Oryctolagus cuniculus: one gene and its partner. The protein of the gene in region 1 interacts with the protein of each later gene in a pairwise test. Links are inferred from orthologs where the notes say so. Each region holds a gene or a part of one and is shown on either strand. Other genes may lie near its edges.

The links. The genes of interacting proteins can lie anywhere in the genome.
Region 2: the proteins of ZYX (region 1) and TUFT1 interact in binary tests that used the Homo sapiens proteins (3 or more experiments, as listed by UniProt). The link is inferred for Oryctolagus cuniculus from reciprocal best matches to the Homo sapiens genes ZYX and TUFT1.

What each region holds. Positions count from the first base shown.
Region 1 is NC_091434.1:180,377,403-180,383,132, forward strand, and holds the start of ZYX (zyxin), read right to left. Parts: upstream 3,593-5,730; 5' UTR 3,563-3,592; coding exon 3,401-3,562; intron 3,271-3,400; coding exon 3,048-3,270; intron 2,563-3,047; coding exon 2,363-2,562; intron 2,206-2,362; coding exon 2,113-2,205; intron 2,000-2,112; coding exon 1,457-1,999; intron 1-1,456. UniProt on the Homo sapiens protein: Adhesion plaque protein. Binds alpha-actinin and the CRP protein. Important for targeting TES and ENA/VASP family members to focal adhesions and for the formation of actin-rich structures.
Region 2 is NC_091438.1:46,546,643-46,552,330, forward strand, and holds the start of TUFT1 (tuftelin), read right to left. Parts: upstream 3,903-5,688; 5' UTR 3,757-3,902; coding exon 3,697-3,756; intron 1-3,696. UniProt on the Homo sapiens protein: Involved in the structural organization of the epidermis. Involved in the mineralization and structural organization of enamel.

The DNA.
Region 1 (5,730 bases):
TGACCCCTCTTCTTCCTGTCCAAACCACTTCCGCTTCTGGACTTACCTATTTTGTCAGCAGTGCTATCATTCCTGACACACCCCCACTCTGGCATTTTTTTCTCTTCCCCTTCCCCCTCCAACTGCTTATCAGTTGCTGCATCCCATGGGCTCTTCCTTTTTAACAGTGCTAAACATGGGTCTTATTTTCCATTGAGATGAATGTTACTGCTGCCTGGGAGTGAACTCACACACATCATTACCTCCTTGCCTCTACCACACGTCTCTGCTAGGAACTTTCCAGAAAGCTCCCAACAGCACTGGCCTCACCAGCCCTGGAGACCCAGCCACACACCTACCCCAAAGCACTGACCCCGCAGTGCTCACCAGCTCCCCGGGTGTGCCTACTCCCCGTAGCCCCCACCTAGTCTCTAAGTATAGCTCACGAACTTTCCCACAGGAACCTACTGCTTTCTGCTTTCCAAACACCCCTGTGTAGCTGTGCCTTGCATTCTGCTCATGCCGTTCCCATCAAATGCCATTCCCTTTCCTCTCGGATTCTTAAGTCCTGCCGGCCCTTCAAGACACACCAGCCCAGGAAGGCTTTCCTAACTTGCCAGCCCCAGGCTGGCTCCCTGTTCTGAGTTCCTGTAACTTGTGCAATTCCGCAAATCTCACTGGCACCTGGCATTTCTTCCTGTACAGTACCTGAGTATCCTCAGACATGGATGCTATCAGATGACTCTCTGGATGCTTGGATTAGAGGTCCCTCAGGGTCGCTTTAACTCACAAGATCTCATCCGAACTGCAGGGCACGCTTTGCCTCGTGCTTTTCCATTTAGGGCATTTATGTAATACCGAACCCAGCACTTCGCAAGCATTCATCCAATTACTCTTCACAACCACTATATGGGGTAGTGTTAATTTTTAAAGGGGAAACTGGGGCTTGGAGTTCACCTAACTTGCCCAAACAGCAGATGAGATGTGGAGCTGGGGATTCTATCCCAGCCCCATCTGACACCCGGAGGCCAAACCTCTCTGGGAGATCACTTCGCTCCCTTGTCCCAGACTCCAGAGCACAGAACACAGTGCCTGGCATCCAGCTGATGTTGGCTCAGTCTTTGTTTACTGGGGCTGTGGCTCTTATCTCCAGATGGGCCCTCGGGCAGTGAAAGGACCAGAGGAGCTGCGAGATTAACTTAAGGCCCAGGAATGGGGAAAAACCAACATTGGACCGGTGATGTCATCCTCCCCTTTAACCTCCCAGGGCAGAAGCGCAAGAGAATGTGCACCAAATCCTCTAATTCCAAATCTGGAGCCACGCCCCAGCCAGCCCCTGCAGAAACTCTCTCCCTTCCCATTGTCTGACCGATGGACCCACCACACTGATGCCCACCCCATCTCTCCCAAGCCACCTCCACTGTGATTCCCTCCCCCAGCACCCTGGTCTCGGCCCTGACCTATCTCGCCCCCTCACCTGGTTTTGCTTCTGAGCAGGTGGGGGCACTGGGTGCTGCTTCTCCTGCACGCGGGGCTTCTCTTTCTGCTGAGCATAGGTGAAGCTGGGGGGTTGAGGGGAACCCGTGCCAGTGGAAGAAGCAGCTTCCGGAGGTCCCAGCTTTTGACTGGGCTGTGACCCAGGGCCACCGGGGGCTCCAGGGCTGAACTTGGAAGCCACGGGAGTAAACTTGGGAGCCACTGGAGAAAACTTAGGGGCTGGTGCTGGAGGTGGAGCTGGAGGACCTCGGGACTGCGCGTTAGCGGAAGACACAGGCTGGGAATGAGCCTGGGGCTGAGGCTGCACATGCAGCTGGACCTGAGGCTTGGTCTGGGGCTGGGCCTGGGGCTGAGCCTGGGGCTGGACATGGAACAGCGCTTGGCTCTGAGGCTGGGACACGGGCTGGGAGCTGGGAGGTGCCTTCCAGGGGGGCAAGGGTGCTGTGCCCCCGGTCGCAGGCTTAGTACTGGACTTGGGAATGAATGGAGTGGCAACTGGAGGGGGCACATATCCAGATGACACCTGCAAGAGAGGCAGAGGGAGAGAAGCAAGTTAGAGGCAGGGGCTGCCCTCCACGCTTCCTTCTCCAGTCTCTCCTCCCTGGCACTCAGGGTGCCTACTCCCCAGGCCCTTACCCGGGCTTTGAAGGGATCATTCTTGGTCATGTCATCCAGCAGTGAGGACAGAGAGTCGATCTCCAGGTCGATGCTGCTCACCTTCTCCCTGGGCTACAGGATCAGGGGTCAGAGCATCCATCCCCGTCTCCCATTCCCACGCCACCCCTCCCGCAACAGGGCAGAGGTACAGGGGCAGGTCACAGCAGGCCCCCTTCTCTCCTTTCCTTGAGGCGTCCCAGTGCACTGACCCCTCCCCAGGCCTCCATACCTGCGGCGGGGGCGGCATGGGGGCCTCGGGCGTGCCCTCATCCTCCAGCGGGGGCGGTGGAGAAGGAAAGATGTCCTCCTCGGAAGGTGCAGGGGGGAACGGTTCCTCGATCGGGGGAGGCGGCGGGGGGAAGGCACCTCCCAGCGCACCCTCCGCGTCGTCGCCATCCCCAGGTGGGGGAGGCGGGGGTAAGGGAAAGTCTAGGGCGGGGAGAGAAGCGGCCATCGGCAGCGGCCCCGCCACCGCTGCCCCAAGCTGCCCTCCGTCCACAGCTCTGACTCTAACCCTAACCCAAGAACTGCCTCGGGGGTCCTGGAGTGTGCGGGAAGGGAAAGGAGGGGTGCAGGGCGCCCAGGGGGGCACAGGTCAGGAAAGGCCGGAGGTGGGGGGGCACGGCCGAGGAGTGGTGCGGCTCCCGTTACACTTGGGAAAACGGACCCACAGGGGAAGATTCGTGGCCCACATTCCCGCCTCCCACCCCCAGGCGGGGACTTGGAACGATCCCAGGAGCCCTGGCTCCCAGCCATGAGCTCCACGATGAGGTAAGAACATCTGCTCGGGACAGGGTGGCTGCACCCAGCCCCCTCCGCAGCTACCTTTGCAGGCGTCCCCCCGCCCCTTGCTCAATCCCACTGCCCCCACCCCGCCGCCCGCGGGGGTCCAGCCCCTCAGCCCTGCCGCATACCTTCCGGGGGCGGCGGGGGGATCTCGCCCACCCGGCCCATCTGTGCGCGCTGGGCCCCGGCTGCCGCTGGAGGCTCGCCGTCCCCGGGCCGGAAAGGATTTACTTTGGGCTTCGGTGCCACCACCGGGCCGAACTTCTTCTGCGGGGCGTAAAACGCCGGAGCCGAGACCGAGACGGAGATCGCGGGAGGCGGGCGGGGGGCCGCCATGGCCTGGCCGGGCTGCTGGGGGTGGGTCTCCAGGTTACGCGGCGCCGAACTGCGCTGGGCTGGGCAGGAGACTCCCCCGGAGGCCCGAGCGCCTCCCGACGACCCCCACCCGCCGCCTCCCGGAGCCCCGCGCCCCGCGCCTCACCGCGGACCGGAGCGTGCGCGCCGCGTCTCCAGTGGCCGCCTCGGCGCCGGGTCTGCGGACTGTGCGTCCCGGTCCCGAGCAGCCTCCAGCCAGGCGGGGGAGGGACGCAGGGAAGAGGAGGGAGGGCGGCAGGGGGCGGGGAGAGAGCGGCGCCGCGACCATACAAGGAGCGGCCCGGAGAGGGGGCGGGGAGAGACAGGGCGGGCGCGGCAGGAAACTCCCCCAGGAAGGGGCCCAGATCCTGCCCTGGGCCGAGGGCTCCGCTAAGGTCCGCCCGCCCCCGCCGCACTCCCAGCCGTGCTCGCAGCCCTGGCCGGTCGCAGACCACCCCTCCCTGAGCACAGGCCTCTGATGTCATTTCCTGACCTGCCCCCCCACCCCCAACTCCGCGCCCGTCAGCGGGTGCCGGAGATCTGACTCACTGGCCCCACTCCGGGCTGAGCCGGCGGAGGTCGAAAGGGTCCCCCGAGGCAACGGAGCGAGCAGCCCCCTTGCGCCTCCGCCCTGGCCCAGCCGCCTCCTCTGGGGCCTGCAGTTACCTGCGGCCCTGCCACCCTCACGGCTGCACCTCCCACGCCGTCGGCAGCACCGCGCCCCGAGAACCCACCGGCCAGCGCTGGCTGCAGGACCAGGACCAGGGCCGTTCTCGTCCCGCGCCCTCCTGGCAGGCCCTTCGGCGATCGGTGGCTGTGTGAGCCTGAACCTCTTGCGACCTAGGGGTATCGTAACTTCCAACCCTAGGCAGCCTCTGCAGGCTTCTAGGAATTCGCAACACTGGCGCCCCCGGCTGCGGATCAGTTGCGCCAGAGATATTCTGGACCAGCGGGCCCGAGGGAGGTAGGTAGGGGGCTGCTCAGCCCTGGCCAGGGCAGCCGGAGGATCTAGTAGGACCCGGGGAGACGTGGACGCGAGCAACAAGCCTGCCACAGCTGAGCCTCCGCCGCGACCCACGCCTTCGGGAGCCTCCCGAGCGACACAGCTCGGTAGAGCCCCCACTCATCCGACCGGGTTGCTCAGCCCCAGGCTACGCCAAGGAGACCAAACCTGAGTGCCACTTTTTATTTTTTAATTGCGCACGGAAACTTACCCAGTGGCTGAACTCCACGCTTGCAAAGCTATGGAGTCTAGGCCTTTGCCCTCTAGTCCAGTATCCACCCACTCTCCACTCTCTCATTCCATCAGCCCTGAGTGACATCTGAAACAGACCTCTTGTTGACTCAGTGTCTCCGCCCTGGCCCTCCAAACCGACTGAACCCCACTGCCAAGGAGCATCTGGGAGATGCTTTTGAGAGCATCCAGACTCGCCCCTTACTTCACGCTGGGGAAGTGGAGGCTGCCCGCTGAGGGGGTGGGCCCGGTCACACCCACGAAGCAGCCGGCTTCCTCCAGCACCTGCCGTCAGGTGGAGCAATGCTAGGGCCAGCCTGACGCCCAGGCCAGCCGGCCTCTTCCCACTTCCCCTTCTCCACTTGTGAAAGAGCCATGGTGTTTCACCCACCCCGCTTACTGCATTCTACAGAAGTAAATGAAATGCCATGTCTGCAAGTGCTATATAATCCTCAGTGTTATTATTTTTTAAAAGACTTATTTATTTGAGAAGCAGAGTTACAGAGAGAGGGAAACACAAAGAGAGAGGTCTTCCATCTTGGTTCACTCCCTAAATGGCTGCAACGGCCAGAACTGGGCTGATCTGAAGCCAAGAGCCTGGAGCTTCTTCCAGGTTTCCCACGAAGTTGCAGGGGCCAACACACTTGGGCCATCTTCTGCTGCTTTCCTAGGCCATCAGCAGGGAGCTGGATCGGAAGAGGAGCAGCGACACTTGAACCAGCACCCATGTGGGATGCTGGCATCACAGACGGAGGCTTAACCCACTACGCCGTAGCGCCGGCCCCTCAGTATTATTAGCATCCACATCTCAGTTCTGCCAAGGATGGAAATTCTGTCACAGTTAAACTGAGGAGTTCCCCTCATGTGTCCTCTTCTGGGAATGCGCAACACTGTCTTCTTCCTGCTGCCTTACTAAGTCTGTGATCGTACTTAAGACTACGTGTTCATTGCTGTCTTGGTTTTTCTTTGCTCTGGCATCTTACCGTCTCGTCACCAGTGTCTCACAGGCAGAAGCATGTGTGGCCATGTACGTTAGGAACTGCACAGGCACACAGCTCTCCGACAGCACAAGCCTGTCCTCCGCCAGTCCCTGTGAAGGGCTATTAGAAATTTGAGGTTGGATTTCCTGATTGAGTCTTGGGTTTTACAGAGCCCAAGTCTTATCACCAGTTCTTGAAAATACGCCCGGCTGGAGACAAAAAGTTAAGGTAGTTTCCAGATAG
Region 2 (5,688 bases), on another chromosome or scaffold:
GCAAAGCTTGACTGAAGCAGAGAGTTTCTAGATTCTTCCTCTATCCCTTGGCCAGGATCTCAGAGGACGTTAAAACAGTCTGGCTCAGGCCCGTAGCAAATGGAAAACAGCGGCAAATAGGCAGGCACGCACCAGGCGCTGTGCTTAATGCTTCCTGTGTATTACCTTAGTTAATCCTCACGGCCACCTGTGAAAAGGGTCTGGTTATCGCCACTGTTTTACAGACCAGGAAGCTGAGATGCGCCAGAGTAAGTAATTTACCACAGTGACCTCGGGCAAAGCAGAGCCCTGACTCTGGCCCATCTTAGCTTCCCAGAGCCATGCTCTTAACCACAAGGCTATTAACAGAAGTTACAGTTTAGCCAAAAATTGTAATGTAATTACATTGGGAGGGAAGGGCAGGGAGCACCTTAAATCTTCCTTAAGCTCCCACGACCGGAGGTCAACAGATACCCAAAACTAATACATCAAGAAATACCACTATAAGTATGTTATTCAGAAACATGGAGGCAAACACCACACAAAGGAACTAGAAAAGGAGTTGAAAGCGGTTACTTTCCTGGAGCAGAACCTGGAGTAAGGATTGTTAGTCTCTTTTAAAAGTATTTTGGATATTATTAGATCTTTTTATTTTTTAAGATTTTATTTATTTGAAAGTGTTACAGAGAGAGGAAGGGAAGGAGAGAGAAAAAGATTTTCCATTCACTGGTTCTCTCCCCAAATGGCCACAATGGCCACAGCTGGACAGACTGGAACAAGGAGCCAGGAGCTTTATCTGGGTCTTCCACCCAGTGCAGGGCCCCAAGCATTTGGGCCATCTTCCACTGCCCTCCCAGGCCATAGCAGAGAGCTGGAATGGAAGTGGAGCAGCTGGGACTCAAAGCGGTGCTCAGAAGGGGTGCTGGTGTTACAGGCAGCGGCTTAACCTGCTGTGCCACAATGCTGGCCCCGATTAGATCTTTTAAAAATCATACACACATATTCCTTTGATGAAAAATGATGGAAGTAAAGAACAAGGGAGGGGGAAGAGGGTGAAACATCATCCATGACGAAGCCCAAGGTCATAGACATCTGCTCTTTCGCCATACAGCTTCTGTTCCCCTCCACGGCTACCAACACGTGTGGGGGAGGCAGAGGCCAGCAGCCCCCTCTCCCTGGAGCCCAGAGCAAAAAGTCCTAACACAGCTGGAATCCATTCACCTAGAAGCAGAAAGCCTCCATCACTGCCTCCCAGGCCCCAGGAATCACTGGTTAGAACTTTTTATTAAGCTTTCCCTTAAATTCTGTGAGCTGACCCATTTCTTTCTCATAGATTCCTCTTCTGTTGAAGCTAGCTGGGCCCACTCTCTGTTGTCTACTGTAACCAAAGAAATTTAATGGAAATATCTAATGAAAACAAGCTTAAGGTTTATTCATTTCCTTCAGTATAAAGATACTATAGTGGCTTGCAAACTTTGACTTAAAAACACAGTTTACATCAGGATCCAGTAAGCAAACACACATAGGTAACATGTATGTATATAATATACATACATGATATGTATGTGTGTAATATGCTTATGATTGAAACAAAGGTTTTGCCAAAAAGTCCTACCCTTGCTAACACTCCAAGAGTACTAATTCAATTTCTTTTTGTTTGCTGGTTCTGACCCACTAAGTTGAGTTCCAGCCCACCATGCTTATATGATCTGCAACTGAAAAACACCAGCTCCTTGTACCTACTGCATTTGTCTCCAACAGTAGAAGTAACCTGGAGAGTGTATCGGCCACATTTCCATGTCTACATGTGGCATGTTAAGTAAGGCCTGGCTGCTGGGGAGACACCAACAGGGTCCCAGCATGCCAGCTCCCACTAGGATACCTCATCAGTTCAACTGCAGAAGAGACATCTGCGCATATTTCTGTCCACTCACTTTGTACATGCACTGAGCACTGGTTCAATGGTCTGAATATACAAGAACTTCCTGGGGACTGTGCAGGGTCATAAATTCTATCTGTAGGCTGGCTCAGAAGAGAGGAATCCAGGACACAGCCTGCTTCCTGACTGATTGATTGTTTACCATCTCCTCCCCTTCCTTAAGGGCCCAGGAATGTCTCCCCGATCCCGGCGATGGTTATTTCATGACCAGCCTGAGAGTGAAGTAAGTCCCAAGTCCAGGCTCCGAAGAGAATGAGTGGAATTTCTGCCTACCCCTTGCTCTAGAGGTCCCTAGCTGTACACTGATCTGTGGCTGGAGACTGAATTCCTTGCTTACTATGTTCCTACCTTGTCTGCCTGCCCCAACAGACAAGCTGCGAAAACATGACAGGATAGCAAAAGGTGACAATTCATTCCAACACTGCCAATGCCTGGATCGCAAGACGGCCTCTGGACCTACAGCAAGCAAAAAGAAGTCCAAGCACACTCTCCTTTGATCCATCTCATAACCATCTTCCCTGCTTCAACCATCCCAGAACAGTGAGCCGCAAGGAGGATGGTTTCCACCTCTCCAGGGTCCCACGGCTGAGGGAGTGGGCGATTGGGCAGTAGCAAGATCTGTATTGCAATGTGGCAGAAACGAAGGGGGGACTGTGAACACCATTAAATGATCCTCTGGACCTTAAACTTGAAATGACCACCTATACCACACACGCTCTTTGAAGAAGAGCCCTAAGTCAGAGCAGCTAGATAAACTCGACCTTGAGGCAGGCGGAGACCGGCAGAGAGCCAGGAGATCAGATGGAGGAGGTGGCACAGACCCCCAATCACCTGGCACCCGCAAAAGCTTGGAAATCGATGGAATGCACACACCCATGCTAAGTTCCCCAGCACAGCCTGGAAACGCTCAGCCACATATGGTAAGTTGGGGTGGGGAGGAAAACTGGGAGGGAGGCCAGGCAATGCGGGGAGGGGGCCTATGGCCTTGATCGGCATTAGCCGCACCTCTCCACAACCCTCACGCCAACCGGAAACCCTCGCACGGGTCACTTCCCTCCTTTCTCAGTTCAGATTCTAATCCCCTTCATCTACCTGCCCAGGGTTGGGCGGCTGGAGACGGAAGCAAAACCGACAAACCGTCCCAGAAGCTCTGGGTTGGCCGAAGGGGGGGCGGGGGGGGGGGGGGCAGAAAACCGGCAACAGGGAAGAAGGAGAAATCCGCGAGAGGTGACCCCCGGGTGGAAAGCTCCATCCCGGTTAACGAAAGGCAGAGCTGGCCAGTCTCTCGGAGCAGCAGGAGTGCTACCGCTCCCATCCGCCTCGTCCCGGGCCCTCCATTCCCAAGCTTTCGGTATTCACCCTCCGCCCAAAGCGCCAGGAGATTCTCTGAAGGGTTTCTGCGGTCCCCAGGACCGACGGAAAAGCGCGGTCTGCCTGGTGGGACACGATGTCCGAAAGGGTACAAGGATCCCGCCCCCTGAGCCTACACTCACAGGACGCCCGAGAACGCGGCCCAGGCTACGGGCGCCGAGTCCCAGGCGGCAGCCGCAGTGTCCTCCTAAAAGGGCAGGGACGCCTTGGGCCTCAAAGGTCTTCATCCCGCCACCCCCAGGGGCTCCCGCTGTCCGCCGCGAGGCGACACAGAAAGGGAAGCGCCGCGAAGGGCTGAGCGCACGGAGACGGCCACCAGGTGATGTCAGCGAACTCGGCGCGGGGCATCCAGTGGGGAATCAGACGCCGGGCAGAGCACACGAGGACAGCGCCGAGCGCCTTCTTACCGCGGGCTGGCCCTCCGGCTGCACGTCCACCAGTGTACACCAGTTCCGCGTCCCGTTCATCTTCTTCCTGCGGGGGCCCGCAGCACACAGCCTCAGCCCCCAACCCCACTTCTCCGGCTTCTCCTAGGCTGGCGCGCGACGGGTTGCCCCCTTGTATAGAAGCGTCGGGAGGCGGCCTGAAGATAGGCCACGCCCCCGGGCGCTGTTCGCCAATTAGAACGAGCGAGAAGGTGAGATGGGCGGAGCCAAGGGGCTCTCGTTCACGCCCCGTGGACTCTCGCTCGGATTTACGTAGAGGTGTGGCTTGGAGCGTCCTGGGCAGCTTAACTGAACAGTTTCGTCTAGGAAGTGTGCTTGTACCCCAATACGCTTCGTTAATCTTGTCTCCTTTCAACTCCAACATCAGAACTGGTCAGAGGAAATCACTCTTGTCTGCCCCTGGCGAGCTGGAACCTGTAGAAGCTTCCCTACATCTTCCCATTCCTGTATATAAGCCAGCCTGTAGGTTTTGCGGAGCTGAGACAACCTTCCCTCAGCCACAGAAAGGCGGGCACCAAAGGCCAGCTCATTCAGACTGGCCTAAGCCAGTCTGGCAGGTGCCCTTCCCTGGCAAGCCGCCCAGGCCAAGTCAAAGCCAGCTAGGCTCTGGGTGGGGCTTGTTTTGCAGAGGCTATTATACCAAAGCTGCCCTTATATGGTAGGGAGAGGCGGGACACATGGCCTTTAAAGGAATCTGTGGTTTTGAGGAAGGCTGAGCCTCAGCCTTCCAATGGCATTTGCTCCCCAAGCTTAGGCTGGGATCTTGAGGCCTAGGTTAGCCAAGCAGAACCTGGAGCCTCTTCCCAGCCCAGCTGCTCTCAGCAGGGGGCTGCTCCACTGGCCTATGACCCACACCAACAGCCCCCAAATATGTCAGAGGCAGGTCTGACCCCCCACCCCACCCCCCAGAGTGGACAGCGTCCCAATATCTGGCAATAGGCTCAAGTGAAGGGTTCACTCCCTTCTTCAAGGCAACACAAGGGCAGGATTCCCCAACACACAAGGTAAAGACTACGTCCCAGGCCAATCGGGAATGGCTGGTGATCTTTTTACCCAAGAGGTGAATGCTGGAGATATCTTTGTGACTCAAGGGAATAAAACCTTATTCTGGTGTGTTCTCCCTCTAACTCTCAAAGAAGGCATCTTTTTCTTTTTTTTCTTAAAGATTTATTTATTTGAAAGGCAGAAATAGAGAGAAGGAAAGAGACAGAGATCTTCATCTGCTGGTTCACTCCCCAAATGACTGCAATGGCTGGAGCTAGGCAGATCCAAAGCCAGGAGCCAAGAGCTTCTTCCGGGTCTCCAACGTGGGTGCAGGGGCCCAAGAACTTGGGCCATCTTCCACTGCCTTCCCAGGCCATTAGCAGGGAGCTGGATCAGAAGTGGAGCAGCTGGGACTTGAACTGGCACTCTCATGGGATGCTGGCACTACAGGCAGAGGCTTAACCTTCTACACCATAGCACTGGCTCCCAAAGAAGGCATTTTCTGGCCTTGCTATTCCCAGAAGGTTATTCAGGAGAGAATGGAGAATGCTATGAACACTTCCTAAGCTCCAAGGTCCCATTCTATCTGTTGTAAAGGGCCTTTGAAAAGCACTGTCAAGAAAACTCCAGTTTCAGCCTCTGAGCTGTTCAATAAAATTACTTCTTCCTGAAACATGGACTTCCAAATAGCCCAGGAAAAAGAATACGAAGCCAAGAATCTCAACGCAGATATATAATTTTAATATTTAATTTAAAGTACAGTCAAGGTTGCATTGGATTGGAAGAGAACGTCTGATTTGCAGAAGAAAATAAGAGTTTTTTAAAATCATGAAATTACAAGTCGTTGGTGAGAACAGCCTCCTTCTTCAGGCTGCCCACAGGACCTGCTCAGGAAATGCGAGGTGAATCATCCCTCTAACCCCCTCCCTGCCAGGGCTTCAGTCCCCCCAAAACCCAAAGGAGGAGGAA